Macaca fascicularis: one gene and its partner. The protein of the gene in region 2 interacts with the protein of the main gene of each other region in a pairwise test. Links are inferred from orthologs where the notes say so. Each region holds a gene or a part of one and is shown on either strand. Other genes may lie near its edges.

Evidence for each region.
Region 1: the proteins of SP4 (region 2) and POU2F1 interact in binary tests that used the Homo sapiens proteins (3 or more experiments, as listed by UniProt). The two-hybrid records come from large-scale screens. The link is inferred for Macaca fascicularis from reciprocal best matches to the Homo sapiens genes SP4 and POU2F1.

What each region holds. Positions count from the first base shown.
Region 1 is NC_088375.1:25,084,267-25,091,643, forward strand, and holds part of POU2F1 (POU domain, class 2, transcription factor 1), read left to right. Parts: intron 1-4,912; coding exon 4,913-5,258; intron 5,259-5,971; coding exon 5,972-6,060; intron 6,061-7,377. UniProt on the Homo sapiens protein: Transcription factor that binds to the octamer motif (5'-ATTTGCAT-3') and activates the promoters of the genes for some small nuclear RNAs (snRNA) and of genes such as those for histone H2B and immunoglobulins.
Region 2 is NC_088377.1:108,761,650-108,769,026, forward strand, and holds part of SP4 (transcription factor Sp4), read right to left. Parts: intron 4,396-7,377; coding exon 4,167-4,395; intron 1-4,166. UniProt on the Homo sapiens protein: Binds to GT and GC boxes promoters elements. Probable transcriptional activator.

The sequences.
Region 1 (7,377 bases), on a different chromosome or scaffold from region 2:
GACAGGGTATTGCCCTATCACAGTGGCACAATCACAGTTCACTGCAGCCTCAACTTCCCAAGCTTAAGCGATCCTCCCATTTCAGCCTCCCCAGTAGCTGGGACTATAGCCACATGCCACCTGCCCAGCTCATTTTTGTATTTTTTGCAGAGATGGGGTTTTGCCGTATTGCCCAGGCTGGTCTTGAACTCCTGGGCTCAAGCAATTCACCCACCTTGGCCTCCCAAAGTGCTAGGATTACAGGCATGAGCCACCATGCTCAGTCTTCCAGCTTGATTTATAGATTCAACAAAATCATAGTAAAAATTCCAACAGGTTTTTTTTGTTTTGTTTTAAAGAAATCAATAAACTCTTTCGAAAATATACATGGAAGGGACCCAGAATAGCCAAAACAATTTTGAAAAAGAATGAAATTAGAGGATTTTCATATCCTGATTTCAAGGTTTACTGTAAAGCAACAATAAAGCAGTATATTACTGGCGTACATATAGATATATACATTAAATGGAACTAAATTAAGAGTCCAGAAGCAAAACTTTGAATTTATGCTTTATTGATATTTGACAGAGGTGCCAAGGCAATTCAATAGGGAAAGGATAGTCTTCAACAAATGGTTCTAGGACAACTGGATATCCGTACGCAGAAAGAGGAATTTAGATACTTACCTTACACCGTGCATAAAAATTAACTGAAATGGATCAAAGGCCTAAATATAAGAGCTGAAACTATAAAGCTTCTAGTAAATTAGGTGGGACAAAATCTTTGTGACTTTGGGTTAAGCAAAGAGTTCATAGACACAGCACCAAGAGAATAATCCATAAAAGAAAAAATATATTAGTAAATTCAACATCTTTTGTGCTTTTTGAAGCACAAAAGCCACAGACTGAGAGAAAACATTTGCAGATCACATATCCAATAAAGAAATTGTGTCTAGAATGTATAAACAACTCTTACAACTCAATAGTAAGAATATAAACAACTCAGATTTTTAAATGGACAAATGTAAGTATACATTTTACCAAGGAAGATATAGGAGTGACTAGTAAGCACATGGAGAGATGTGTAACGTTAGCATTACTTATTAGGGAAATGCAGATTAAAACCATAATAAGATACTACTTTGTACTCACCAGAATGGCTATAATCAAAAAGACCCAAGATGATGAACGTTGGGAAGGATGTGGAGAAACTGGAACTTTGATGCATTGCTTGTAGGAGTGTAGAATGATACAACTTCAGAAAACACCTTGGCAGTTCTTTTAAACATAAATTTAGCATCCTACCCAGCAATTTCCCCAAGAGAAATGAAGACATTTCCACACAAAAACTTTAATGTGAGTGTTCATATAGCAGTCTTATTTATAATATCCAAAAACTGGAAACAAACCAGTGCTCATCAACTGGTGAATGAATAAACAAAATGTGTCGTATCTACATAGTGGAATATTACTCAGCCATAAAAATTAATGAGGTATTGATTTGTGCTACAATGTGGATGAACCTTGAAAACAGAATACTAAGTAAAAGAAGCCAGATGCAAGAGACTACATATTGTATGATTCCATTTGTGTGGACATTTGTGTGAAATGTCCACAAAAATCTATTATAGAGACAAAAAGCAGATAACTAGGTAGGAGTGTGACATGATTACAAACAGGCACAAGGGATCTTTTCTGGGAGTGGAAATGTCATAATCTGGGTTGGGATGATGGTTGTATAACTCTGTAAGTTGATTAAAAGTAATCAAATTTTAAAACTGGATGAATTTTCATGTGCTTACTAGTCACTCCTATATCTTCCTTGGTAAAATGTATACTAACATTTGTCCATTTAAAAATCTGAGTTGTCTATATTCTTACTATTGAGTTGTAAGAGTTGTTTATACATTCTAGACACAATTTCTTTATTGGATATGTGATCTGCAAATGTTTTCTCTCAGTCTGTGGCTTTTGAAGCACAAAAGATTTTACTTTTGATGAAGTTGAATTTACTGATTTATTTTTTTCTTCTATGAATCGTTCTCTTGGTGCTGTGTCTATGAACTCTTTGCTTAACCCAAGGTCACAAAGATTTTGTCCTACTTTATTTACTAGAAGCTTTATAGTTTCAGTTCTTATATTTTAGGCCTTTGATCCATTTTAGTTAATTTTTATGCATGGTACAAGGTAAGGATTGAAATTCCTCTTTCTGCATATGGATATCCAATTTATAAATTGTACCTCAATAAAAGCTGTTTGAGAAAAGACAAGACAGGATGGGAAGCACAGGGAAGTACTAGGTACTATATACACACCTTGGCTATAGCTTCCTACTGCCCCTGTGAGGTGGGTGGTGGCATCTTATTTTGCCGTTGAGGACATTGAGGCTCAACAACACTAAGTTCACCAGTGAAAGTTACCCAAGTAATTAAATTGCCAAGTTGCCAAGAATTTACAGTCAGTAAATACATACATTGATTAAAACGACTTACTGGCTGGGATAATTAATTTAAAGATAATTTTAAGTTGTTATACCATAATGCTTATATGACTTTTATATTGGAGACACCTAGAACAATTTTGAATGGTTCTGGAGTCATCATCTCCTGGCCTAGATTAAATTCACTGATAAAATTTGACTGGAATTTTCTTTGTAAACTTAAGGGATTTAAGAAAACAGTTGGTGAATGATTTGAAGGTGGCCAGAGAGTAAAAAAATAACTATTTTAAGCCTTTTGAGCTCAAGATATTAGGACTTATAAAAATAGGCAATTTCAATTTCAGAACTTTGAAAGGCAAGTAGTACCCATAGGTAAAATCAGGTTAGATAAGGTGATAAATTGGTCAGAAAAAGATTGAAAGTACATTGAAATTGCTTAGCGTGGAAGAGAAATAAGAAAAGATGTTCACCTTACTATACAACAGGGGGCATGTCTTAAGAGAAGATTAAAGTGAAAAAGGGTATATGAATCTGCCTAACACAGGACCCTACACAGCATCCAATGTTCAGTGGTAGATTGTTCTGAGAGATTTAGAACCAAAGAAGTAATGAACGAAAATAGAATTCATAGTATCTACAAAGGTGTAATGATACTTAGGGGCAGTGGCAATAAAAATAAATCATTTATATTTTTCAGAAAGGTAGACAGAGGAAGAAAACCTTCCTTTTTATTTACCAATAAGAACATTATGTCCTCATTCATTTGGCAACCGTTTTTGCACAGCTTTATAGGAGGTGGAGAAAGTAGTCAGTGCTGAAATAGATGATGTCTGAGTCTCTCCCAACCCTGTGACATGTGATAAAAACTGAAGAGTGGAAATGAGAAGAGAGTTCAATTCTCGGTGTTCTTAGTACAGACCAGAGGAAGGTTTTAAAACAGATTTGGGAAGGACAAAATTGCCTGAATTTGTAACAAGGTTGTTATGAAAGAAGAGCATGTTCTGAAGCTTGGTAAAAGATTTCATCACCAAAAAATGTTGTTATTTTATATATATATATATATATTTTTTTTTTAATGGAGTCTTGCTTCGTCACCCAGGCTGGAATGCAACGGCGTGATCTCAGCTCAATGCTACCTCCACCTCCTGGGTTCAAGCAGTTCTCCTGCCTCAGCCTCCCAAGTAGCTGAAATTATAGGCTCCCACCTCCATGCCTGGCTAATTTTTATATTTTTAATAGAGACAGTGTTTCACCACATTCGCCAGGCTGGTTTCAAACTCCTGACCTCAAATGATCCACTCACCTTGGCCTCCCAAAGTGGTGGGATCACAGGTGTGAGCCACCACACCCGGCCTTGTCTTACCATTTTCAGTGGGGCTACTAGAAATGTTTAAATTACATATGTCTTGTATTTCTGTTAGACAACGCTGATCTCAAACATTAAATAATCCTAGCAAATGTGTTTTAGTGTTTAGTAATGATGTATTTAATGTCAGTTAGTCATTTATATCCAAATGTTCATTCTCCTTAAACCAAGAGCATAGGCACTTTTTTCTAAAAAGTGCCTAACAAATAATTTCTTCCTTGAGACAGAGTCTTGCTCTGTCACCAGGCTGGAGTGCAGTGACATGATCTCAGCTCACTGCAACCTCTGCCTCCCAGGTTCAAGCAATTCTCCTGCCTCAGCCTCCTGAGTAGCTGGGACTACAGGCGCCCGCCACCACACCCAGCTAATTTTTGTATTTTTAGTAGAGATGGGGTTTCACCATGTTGGCCAGGATGGTCTCGATCTCTTGACCTCGTGATCCGCCCACCTAAGCCTCCTAAAGTGCTGGGATTACAGGTGTGAGCCACCATGCCCGGCCTACAAATAATAATTTCTTAGATCTTAATTTTTATGCTAGCTTTTATGAGATTCATAGTATCATTGTGTGTTGTTGTTGTTTTTTTTTACCACAGTGGACTTTTTGAGAGCTAATTTTTATTACAGAATAGTTGTTTGAATGTAGAGAAGGCATGTAGTCATTTTTATACTATGTTGTTGTTGATACTGAATTCTTAGAAAAGTATATAACTTTCTGTTTTTCTTCTCCTTGTTTTGATTTTTCTGAGGAGACCACTAAGGAGATTTCTGAATGAAAAGAGCTTTACAGAAGTTTTTCTTCTTTTGCTTTCTTTTTCTTCCCCAGAGCAGTTGTATTCCATAATTAGAGCTTGTATGATTCTTTTGTTTCTTGAATAGGAAATAGGCAATGGAAAACTTCTCTGTTTCTTCCATTGCTCATATCTCTTAAAGTAGGGTTCCTAGCTGTGATTCTAAAATGTTTGGTTTTGTAGTTAATTTCCATAGAAGCACTAAACTAGGTCATTAAAGAACAAATTTACAAGGTGGTAGGTTAATTATTCCATTGATTATAGAGTTTAGCTGAGTAAAGCCACCATTCTTCCAAAACCATTTACAAAAGGTCATCTTCTAATCTGTTTCTCTTTTCAGGCACTTCAGACACCACCTCCAACAACACAGCAACCGTGATTTCCACAGCACCTCCAGCTTCCTCAGCAGTTACGTCCCCCTCTCTGAGTCCCTCCCCTTCTGCCTCAGCCTCCACCTCTGAGGCATCCAGTGCCAGTGAGACCAGCACAACACAGACCACCTCCACTCCTTTGTCCTCCCCTCTTGGGACCAGCCAGGTGATGGTGACAGCGTCAGGTTTGCAAACAGCAGCAGCTGCTGCCCTTCAAGGAGCTGCACAGTTGCCAGCAAATGCCAGTCTTGCTGCCATGGCAGCTGCTGCAGGACTAAACCCAAGCCTGATGGCACCCTCACAGTTTGCGGCTGGGTAAGGCGCTTTCTCATCTCATTGACATCTGAGGTGGAGGTCATCCCTGGAATTACTCATAGGGTAGACTTTGCATCACTGACTTAAATGGGGAAAAAAATGTCTTTAAAGCAGTACTCTCTTTGAAGTGGGCTGTTTTGTGATCATACAAGGACCTTGATTATGGTTTAAGTTTCTTAACACCCTGGGAAGGGCAGTAGTCATACCTTTGTTTACAGATGAAGACCCAAAATATCAGGTCACTAATTACCTTAGTGACAGGGCCAAGAAGAAAGCCCAGAATTCTTAACTCTTATTTTCCCCATTAAACTCTCTCAACTGCCTACTTCCTAATTCTCAAGCATAGATGAGAGATGTAATGGGAGTCTCAATTTTATACTGTTATTGTCACACATAAGAATTATCTTGTAAATATATCTTTTTCTCTAGAATGTTTCTTTCATTTTGGAAAAAAAGAGAAATAAGTCATTCAAAGAAGGGTCAAAATGACTGTAAAAGTTTTACATTTTGTGCTGATCATAACCTCGTTTGTACAAGTAAGCCTCCAGGAAAGCAGTAACTGAGAAACACAAACCATAGAAGAGTAAAGAAAAGTAAATATTTCCACCTGTTTCCCCAGCTGGATTTTCCTTTTGTAAGTTCCTTTTGGTGTGTTGTCAAAATGAGACCTGCATCTCCATGGTAATAAAGTGACTCCTCTTTTGGACTTGCAGAGGTGCCTTACTCAGTCTGAATCCAGGGACCCTGAGCGGTGCTCTCAGCCCAGCTCTAATGAGCAACAGTACACTGGCAACTATTCAAGGTCAGTAGAAGCCTTTTTCTTTCTTTGGTGGCATGCACACATGTACACGTGTGTGTGTGTGTGCGCGCGCTTGAGAGAGACACACACAGAGAGATGGAGGAAGTCTGCTTTGCTAGAGGTAAAAGTGATGGGAAAGATAGTCAAATGCTGACTAACGTGTTGTTGAGAACTAAGAAAATGTCCTCATTAAAAAGCTTTGTAAGAAAAGTACAGGTGTTAGTATGTGAGTAAAAGCAGGAAATATACTTAGTTTGGTATATGGTAAGAAACCAGAACTTTTATGCCAATATTGATCTTATGTGAATAGACTTGAAGCCAGATTTTTTTTCCCCTGATAAGTTTATCCGAAGTATTAATCCAAAACCCATCTCAAGGCAAACTTGACCAAGTAAGACTCTCCGGTCCCCATCCCCACTCCTGAGAAAGCTGTGCATGGGAAAGTCCTATGATGAATGAACATTGGAACACATCAGGTGGACCTCAGGAGTGCTTTTCATTCTCATTAGGTTCTGTTCTTTTTATATCACCATTAGTGTAGAACATATATTCTCTTGGATTATAATGTCTCTTTTCCAAGTTCAGCTGGGTTCCTTTTACCTTTTAGCATGTTACCCAGGGCAATATTCATTCCATGTAGTGAAGGGTTCCACTTGTTTAGTACCTAAGCTTTCTGTCTAAAAATGTTTACTGTTACGTGATGCAGGGAGACAATCTGAGAGACATCACTAATGAGTTAGAATTTTTTTTCTTAAAATAGTTTTGATGAGAGGCTGAGGCAGGGGGTCACTTGAGGCCATGAGTTCAAGACTGCAGTGTGCCATGATCATGCCTGTGAATAACCATTGCACCCCAGCTTGGGCAACACAGTGAGACCCTGTTTCTTGAAAAAAAAAAAAAAAAAAAAAACGTGGTTTGTGCATAAATGAGAGTTCTCAGGGCCAAAAATAGCTATTAGCCAACCTCAGTTAAGATGAAGATTTCACAGGTGATGTCTCTGACAGAGTACTAGACAGTGTGAATCACAGACAAAACCACACTACGGCCTAGATTACCTTACATTGTATTGACTTTCTGATTGACTAAATCATACCTGAATTGGTTAGCTCTAAAGCTTTGGTTATATAGTAATATGTTTTTTTTTTTTGCAGTAGAATTTGTGATAAATCACTTTTTCCTCTGCTTTATTGAATGTTTCTGTGCTGTGGGGATCCTACAAAGGCAAAATGTCTTCCCCAGGGCATGATTGACACTCTGAAAAGATCTGGAACTAGTCTATGACCCTAAGTTTGGAATCTCAGAAAAACTTCCAGCTGCACT
Region 2 (7,377 bases):
ATACCATTTAAAGTCTCTGGAAATGGTCCTAAAAGCAAATAAAGAAACATTTATTCAAGAAAATCTCACAGAAATTGGTAAGAACAGTACGAGTCTGTGATATTTGAACCAAGACTCTCTCCTTCCCTACTTCCTCCCACCTCCACACAGGAACATTAGACACTGGTGCAGCCAAGAATATGATTCCTACTCTTCCCACCTCCCGGTCAGAGAGCTATGGCCCTAGGAGGGGCAAGATGTCTGCATTTCTTATTTTACTCTTGGTTGCCTGTTGCTAAGTTCCAGGCAAGTGTAGCAGAACCCAGTCCTTAGCCCTGGGACATAGGCTCTACCTTGGATGTGGCATGATGAAAATACTGGAGTCTAGGTTGCTGTTGACCTGGCCCATTCATAGTTCATAAAGTCAAAGTTCTAAGCCAGGAGAGGCCAGTTGAGAAGACCTGAGGCTACTGCTGCCCCTGCAACCAGGCACTCAGCTCTTAAAGGAGAGTTGTCACTCAGAGAGAAATGAGCCACTGTCTCAACCTCTAGCTCAAGAGCCATAACCCAGAAATACCATAAAACAAAGAGCTCCAAATCTCTTCCCAAAGGAACTGACTTAATTTGCAAGACAATGTGAAGAAGTTCAAGCCTAAGGGTACTCTCAAAAAAAGTAGAGATTGTTCCAAAGGCAGTTAATTGGGAGAAGACTAACAGATTCACTGGAAATAAAGGCTTAACTACAGGCTGGCTAGTTTGCTAGACAGAAGTGAGAAGAGGCTGTGAAGAACCTTCTTAGGGTCAGAATAAATGTCAAACATTGAGATTCTTGGGAAAAGTAAGCAAAACTAACAAACTAACAAGCTAGACTGACCAAGAAAATAAGACTCAAATTATTAGAATCAGAAATCAAAGAGGAGATATCACCACCAACCTTACAGAAACAAAAAGGATTACAAAAGAATACCATGAACAATTTTATGCCAATTACTTGGGTAACTCAGATGAGATGGACAAATTCCTAGAAAAATATGGACCAAAATACTAAAACTGACTCAGGAACAGATAATCAATCAGAATAAACCCACAACAAGCAACTAGACTGAATTAGTAATTAAAACTACCCATATGAAAAGCCCAAGAACAGACAGCTTCACTTGTAAATTCCACAAAACATTTAAAGAATTAATACCAGTTTGGAGGGAATACTTTCCAATTCATTCTATGAGGCCGGTATTATTATCAAAATCAGATAAAAACATTACAAAAAAAGAAAACCACAGACGTATCTCTTATGAATATGGATGCAAAAAGCCTCAAAAAAAATACAAGCACACTGTCAACATTGTACCAGAGGTTCCAGACAGAGAAATTAAGTAAGAAAAAGAAACAGAACTCCTGCAGCATAGAAAGGAAAAAGTAAAAGTTATCTCTGTTCACAGATTCCATGACCTCAAACATAGAAATTCTAGACTCCACTAAAAAAAAAAAAAACAAAAAAAAAAACCTGTTATAACTAATCAAAAAGTTCAGCAAAAGTTGCAGGATACAAGATTAATACACTTAAAAAATATATTTCTACACAGTTGTAATGAACAACCAAGGAAACAGTTCAACTTATAACAGTATCAGAAATAAAATTGGAATTTAACAAAAGTACAAAATGTATACTCTGAAAACTATAAACCATTGATGAAAGAAGTTAAAGATTAAATAACCAGAAATACTTCCCATGTGCATGGACCAAAAGATAAAATATTGTTAAGCAGGCAACAGTCCCCAAAGTGATCTACAGATTCAATGCAATTCCCATCAGAATACCATCTGGCTTCTTTGTAGAAATTGACAAACTGATTCTAAAATTCACATGGAATTGCAAGTGTCCCTAAAGAGTCAATACAATTTCGAAAAATAACAAAGTTGCAGGACTCACATTTCTCGATTTCAAAAGTTATTACAAATCCAAAGTACTCAAGACACTGTGGTACTGATATAAAGACAGATATACAGATCAATGGAATAGAATTGAAAGTCCTGAAATAAATCCATGTTCTATGGTCAACTAATTTTTGACATGGGTGCCAAGAACACTCAATGGAGAAAGGAGAGTCTTTTCAACAAATGGTGTTTGATGAACCCTTACCTAACACCATATAAAAATTAACCCCAAATTCATCAAAGACCTAAATGTAAGAGTAAAAACTATAAAATTATCTTTAAAAAAAACCCAAAAAAACCTAGGAATCTTAATGACTTTGGATTTGGCAATGAATTCTGACACAATACCACAAGCAGAAGCAATAAAGGAAAATAGAAAACTCTAGACTTCAAAATCAAAACTTTGGTGCAAAGGCACTATCAAGAAAGTATAAAGACGATTCACACAATGGGAGACAATATTTTTCTCTTTTTTTTTTTTTTTAGACGGAGTTTTGCTCTTTCACCCAGGCTGGAGTGCAGTGGCGCGATCTCGGCTCACCGCAACCTCTGCCTCCTGGGTTCAAGCAATTCTCCTCCCTCAGCCTCCCGAGTTGCTGGGATTACAGGCACGCGCCACCATGCTTGGCTAATTTTGTATTTTTAGTAGAGATGGGGTTTCTCCATGCCGGTCAGGCTGGTCTCCAACTCCTGACCTCAGGTGATCCACCTGCCTTGGCATCCCAAAGTGCTGGGATTACAGGCGTGAGCCACCATGCCCAGCCGGGAGACAATATTCTCAAATCATATATCTGATAAGGAACTTGTATCTAGAATATATAAAGAGACAATTCCATAATGAAAAATAATATAATTTAAAATGGGCAAAAGATCCAAATAAATATTTCTCCAAAGATACAAACATGGCCAATAAGAACAAGAAAATATGCTTAATATCACTAGTAATCGGGAAAAACAAAACTGCCGTGAGGTATCACTTCAAACCCAGTAGGATAGCTTTAATCATGAAGTCAGATAATGACAAGTACTGGCAATGATCTAGAGACTGGAACCCTCATACCCTACTGATGGAAATGTTAAATGGTACAGCCATTTTTGGAAAATAATCTGTAAGTTCCTCAAATGGTTAAACATAGAAATACAATATGACCCAGAAATTCCATTTCTAGGTAATTTCATAAAAATACAAGAGAAATGAAAACATATGTCCACATAAACACTTGTACACAAATGTTTACTGCAGTATTATTCATAATGGTCAGTGGGTGGATAAAACCAAATGTCCTTCAAGTGACAGGATAAACAAAATATTGTATATCCATACAGAGAAATATTATTTGTCCCTAAAAAGGAATGAAGTACTGATCATGCTGTAATACGGCTGAACCTTGAAAACATTATGCTAAAAGAAACCAGTCACAAAAGTCACGATTCCATTTATATGAATTGTCCAGAACAGACAAATCTATAAAGACAGAAATTAGTTGTTTAGGATGGAAGGGTTGGGAGGATAAGGGGGTGATGTTTAAAAGATACAGAATTTATTCTGGGGATGATGAAAACATTCTAAAATTGATTGTAGTCATGTCTACACAGCTCTGAATATATTAAAAACCACTGAATTGTACACTTTAAATGGGTGAACTATAGGGTGTAAGAGCGAGTTTTATATCAATAAAGTTATGTAAAAATTTTATGAAAAAAAAATGGGCTGGGCACAGTGGCTCACACCTGTAATCCCAGCACTTGGGGGGCTGAGCTGGGCGGATCACCTGAGGTCAGGAGTTTGAGACCATCCTGGCCGACATGGTGAAACCCTGTCTCTACTAAAAATACAAAAATTAGCCGCGTGTGGTGGCGGGCGCCTATAATTAATCCCAGCTACTCGGAAGGCTGAGGCAGGAGAATCGCTTGAACCCGGGAAGTAGAGGTTGCAGTGAGCCGAGATCACACCGTTGCACTCCAGCCTGGGCAGCAGAGTGAAACTCCATCTCGTTGGGGGGGCCCGGGGGAGGGGGTAGAAAAAAGAAAGAAAAAATGTATTTTTAAAGTGTAAGGAACAAGGCAGAGGACCACTCAAATTTCATTCCTAAAATAGCCTAACTTAATTCCCTTTCTAATATTATATATCAACTTCTAGGCTATGAAGGTAATGAGGTTCTTGTGACCATCATTCCCAGCCAATTACTCGGTTTTAACTCCTGTTTTATGCCTTCCAAATGGACACAGTTGAAAAACAGAGCATTTACCTTCCTTCTCCTTCCCTACAATTAGGACAGGAACAGGCAACTCTTCGAAGCCTCTTGCCAGGTTGTACCTCTTGATCAGAAGTTTGCTGGCCTTGCTGCAAATGCACTTGTGTGAGTTGGTCAGGACTAACAGCACCTATCGTGGCATTAGCAATTCCTCCAACTGCTACAGTTACAGGAGCTATAGTAGCTTGCTGGACTTTTACTCCATCTTGTCCTTGCTGCTGACCTAAAAAGGAAGAAAAAAAAAAAGAAACATTGTAATGTTTTCTACATCTAAAGAAAGGATTAAAAAAAAATTCCATGTGCATAAATTTTTTCTAACAATCTGTAAAGTACAAAAACTAAGGGGTTAATGGCTTATACTATGTCAATCCTTCTAAAATATAGTATTCTCACTTTAGTGGCTCAGGTTGCCTATGTATCTAGATGACGGAACTATATACATAAATCATTTAACCCACTTTTGGACTTAATTTCTCTCTCCATCTATAAAATGAAGATAATAATACTTGCTACTTACCTACTCACTAAAATACTATGAGGATACATGAGTCTAAAAGCATTTTGAGATCCTAAGATAAAAGACGTTATATAAACACAAAGCTTTATTACCATTTCCACAGTAAGCAACATATCTCATCACAACAAGAAAATACAGGAGTGAAAAGTCACTAAACAAAGGATTAAGTTTTATGGACATCTTGCATTCCTAAATAGTTTAAATAAACATCTCTTTATTGATTTGACTTTTTAAATTGTATACATAAAGTGGTTTTTAAAATGCAAAACCACCCAAGATTACTACATACTGTCACTGTAATCATAAAAAGACATTTAAAATATTATTACTTTATTCACTCATGTTATATAGCTTACACTTCATTGCTCAGATTAGTATATATACCAGCGCGGCTTCTTCACTTTGGTAAAAATATAATAAATAATGCACAATAAAACAACAAAAAAATGTATTTGCATGGCTTAACATTATCCTGAAATACAATGCTCTTTTTTTTTTTTTTTTTTTGAGAAGGAGTCTTGCTCTGTCACCCAGGCTGGAGTGCAGTAGCACGATCTCAGCTCACTGCAACCTCCACCTCCTGGATTCAAGCAATTCTCCTGCTTCAGCCTCCCTAGTAGCTGGGATGACAGGTGCGTGCCAACATGCCCAGATAGTTTTTTTTTGTATTTTTAGTAGAGACAGGGTTTCGCAATGTTTGCCAGGCTAGTCTCAAACTCCTCACCTCAGGTGATTCACCTGCTTCGGCCTCCCAAAGTGCTGGTATTACAGGTGTGAGCCACCGCACCCAGCCTATGATGCCTTATAATTATCTTTTCTTTCACACAGTTCTACATTCTCCCCATCAGATGTGGGAATAACAAGTATGTGAATGGACTGAAAAGAAAATACCAATTTATGAAAGAATGTTTCCACCTCAGAATATTGATATAAGTATTAAGTAAGTTAATTTATAAATCCTCTACCACAGTGCTGGCACAGAATTGCTCATTACATAGTAGCTACTGTTACTAATTCATCTCTGCTGAGTTCAGGGGCAATACAAGAATAAAATAAGTCACTTTGGGAGGTCGAGACGGAGGATCACAAGGTCAGGAGATCGAGACCATCCTGGTTAACATGGTGAAACCCCGTCTCTACTAAAAATACAAAAAAATTAGTTGGGCATGGTGGCGGGCACCTGTAGTCCCAGCTACTCGCTATTCACAAGGCTGAGGCAGGAGAATGGCGTGAACCCGGGAGGCAGAGCTTACAGTGAGCCGAGATCATGCAGCCTGGGTGACAGAGCGAGACTCTATCCCCAAAAAAAAGAAAAAAAAAAAAAAAAGAATAAAATATGCTAGCAGAAATAAACATGCCAGTCCTGCATATAAAATGGTTTCTTTCAGGCCGGGCATGGTGGCTCATGCCTGTAATCCCAGCATTTTCGGAGGCTGAGGTGGGTAAATCACAAGGTCAAGAGATGGAGACCATCCTAGCTAACACAGTGAAACCCCATCTCTACTAAAAAGTCCAGTGATTGCACCACTGCACTTCAACAAAAAATTAGCCAGGTGTGGTTGCACACGCCTGTAGTCCCAGCTACTTGGGAGGCTGAGACAGGGGAATCGCTTGAACCCGGGAGGCAGAGGTTTCAGTGAGTCGAAATTGTGCCACTGCACTCCAGCCTGGGAGACAAGAGCGAGACTCTGTCTCAAAAAAAAAAAAAAAAAAAAAAAAAAAAGGCAGGGGTGGGGGTGGTTATTTCAAAGCTGCATATGTAGTATCTTAAAAGTACGGGGCAACCAACAAGAAGCAATAAAAATTACCAAGTAAGAAAATAGTACACATTTTCTAAACAAAATTAAACCTCTGACTCTCCCAGCCAAAGTCAATCTCACCGTCCTCTGCATATCCACAGCACCTTTAATTCCTTTTGGTAGCACCCATAACTAAGATACACATTAAAAAATACATTTTGTCACTGTTTCAGTAAGGATACAAACCCTCTACTAAAGTTTACATTTTTGTACACCTTTGAATTAGCATGGTGTGGTAAGTAAAGCAATGCAAGTGAAGTCAGAGTTGTAAATTTATGACTGTGCACTCAGGGATCCTCAGTTTCCTCAACTCTAAAACAGTAACACTGACTTCCGTAAAATTTCTGCTCCCTGTCTACTTTAAAGAGCTGTTTCTGAGGATCAAGTTGATTTTCCAGGGGTAAAGGCTATATAAATTATAAAGCAATACATAAACAAAAGGTATAATTATTTTGTTTCAGTGTTTTTGAACACGTATTTAGGAAAACCAGATGCCTTAAGGATGACCGTGGCTACACAATCTATTCAAACTACTTGTGTACCAAGAAGCACAGTGATACACACACTTTCTGTTTACTACAAAAAAAAAAAAATGCATTTCTAGAAATGAGAGTACTGTCTGAACAAGCACTCTACAAAATCTACAGCATGGTCCCTATGGAGCTGCAGGTATTTTAAGTTGGCAAATACCCTTTACATCCCCTGAAGACACAGGTATTTTCGGCCACAATTTTTTGACTACTTTTCTCATAACATTTATATAACAGTCATTACTTTAAAGGTCGCAATAATATTTAAGATGACCTTTATTTTAGTAAAGAACTGCTAGATGAGTTTCAAGTCAAAGCTAAGTTGGGGGGTGAGGGGTGGGGAAGAACTGCTAGAGATT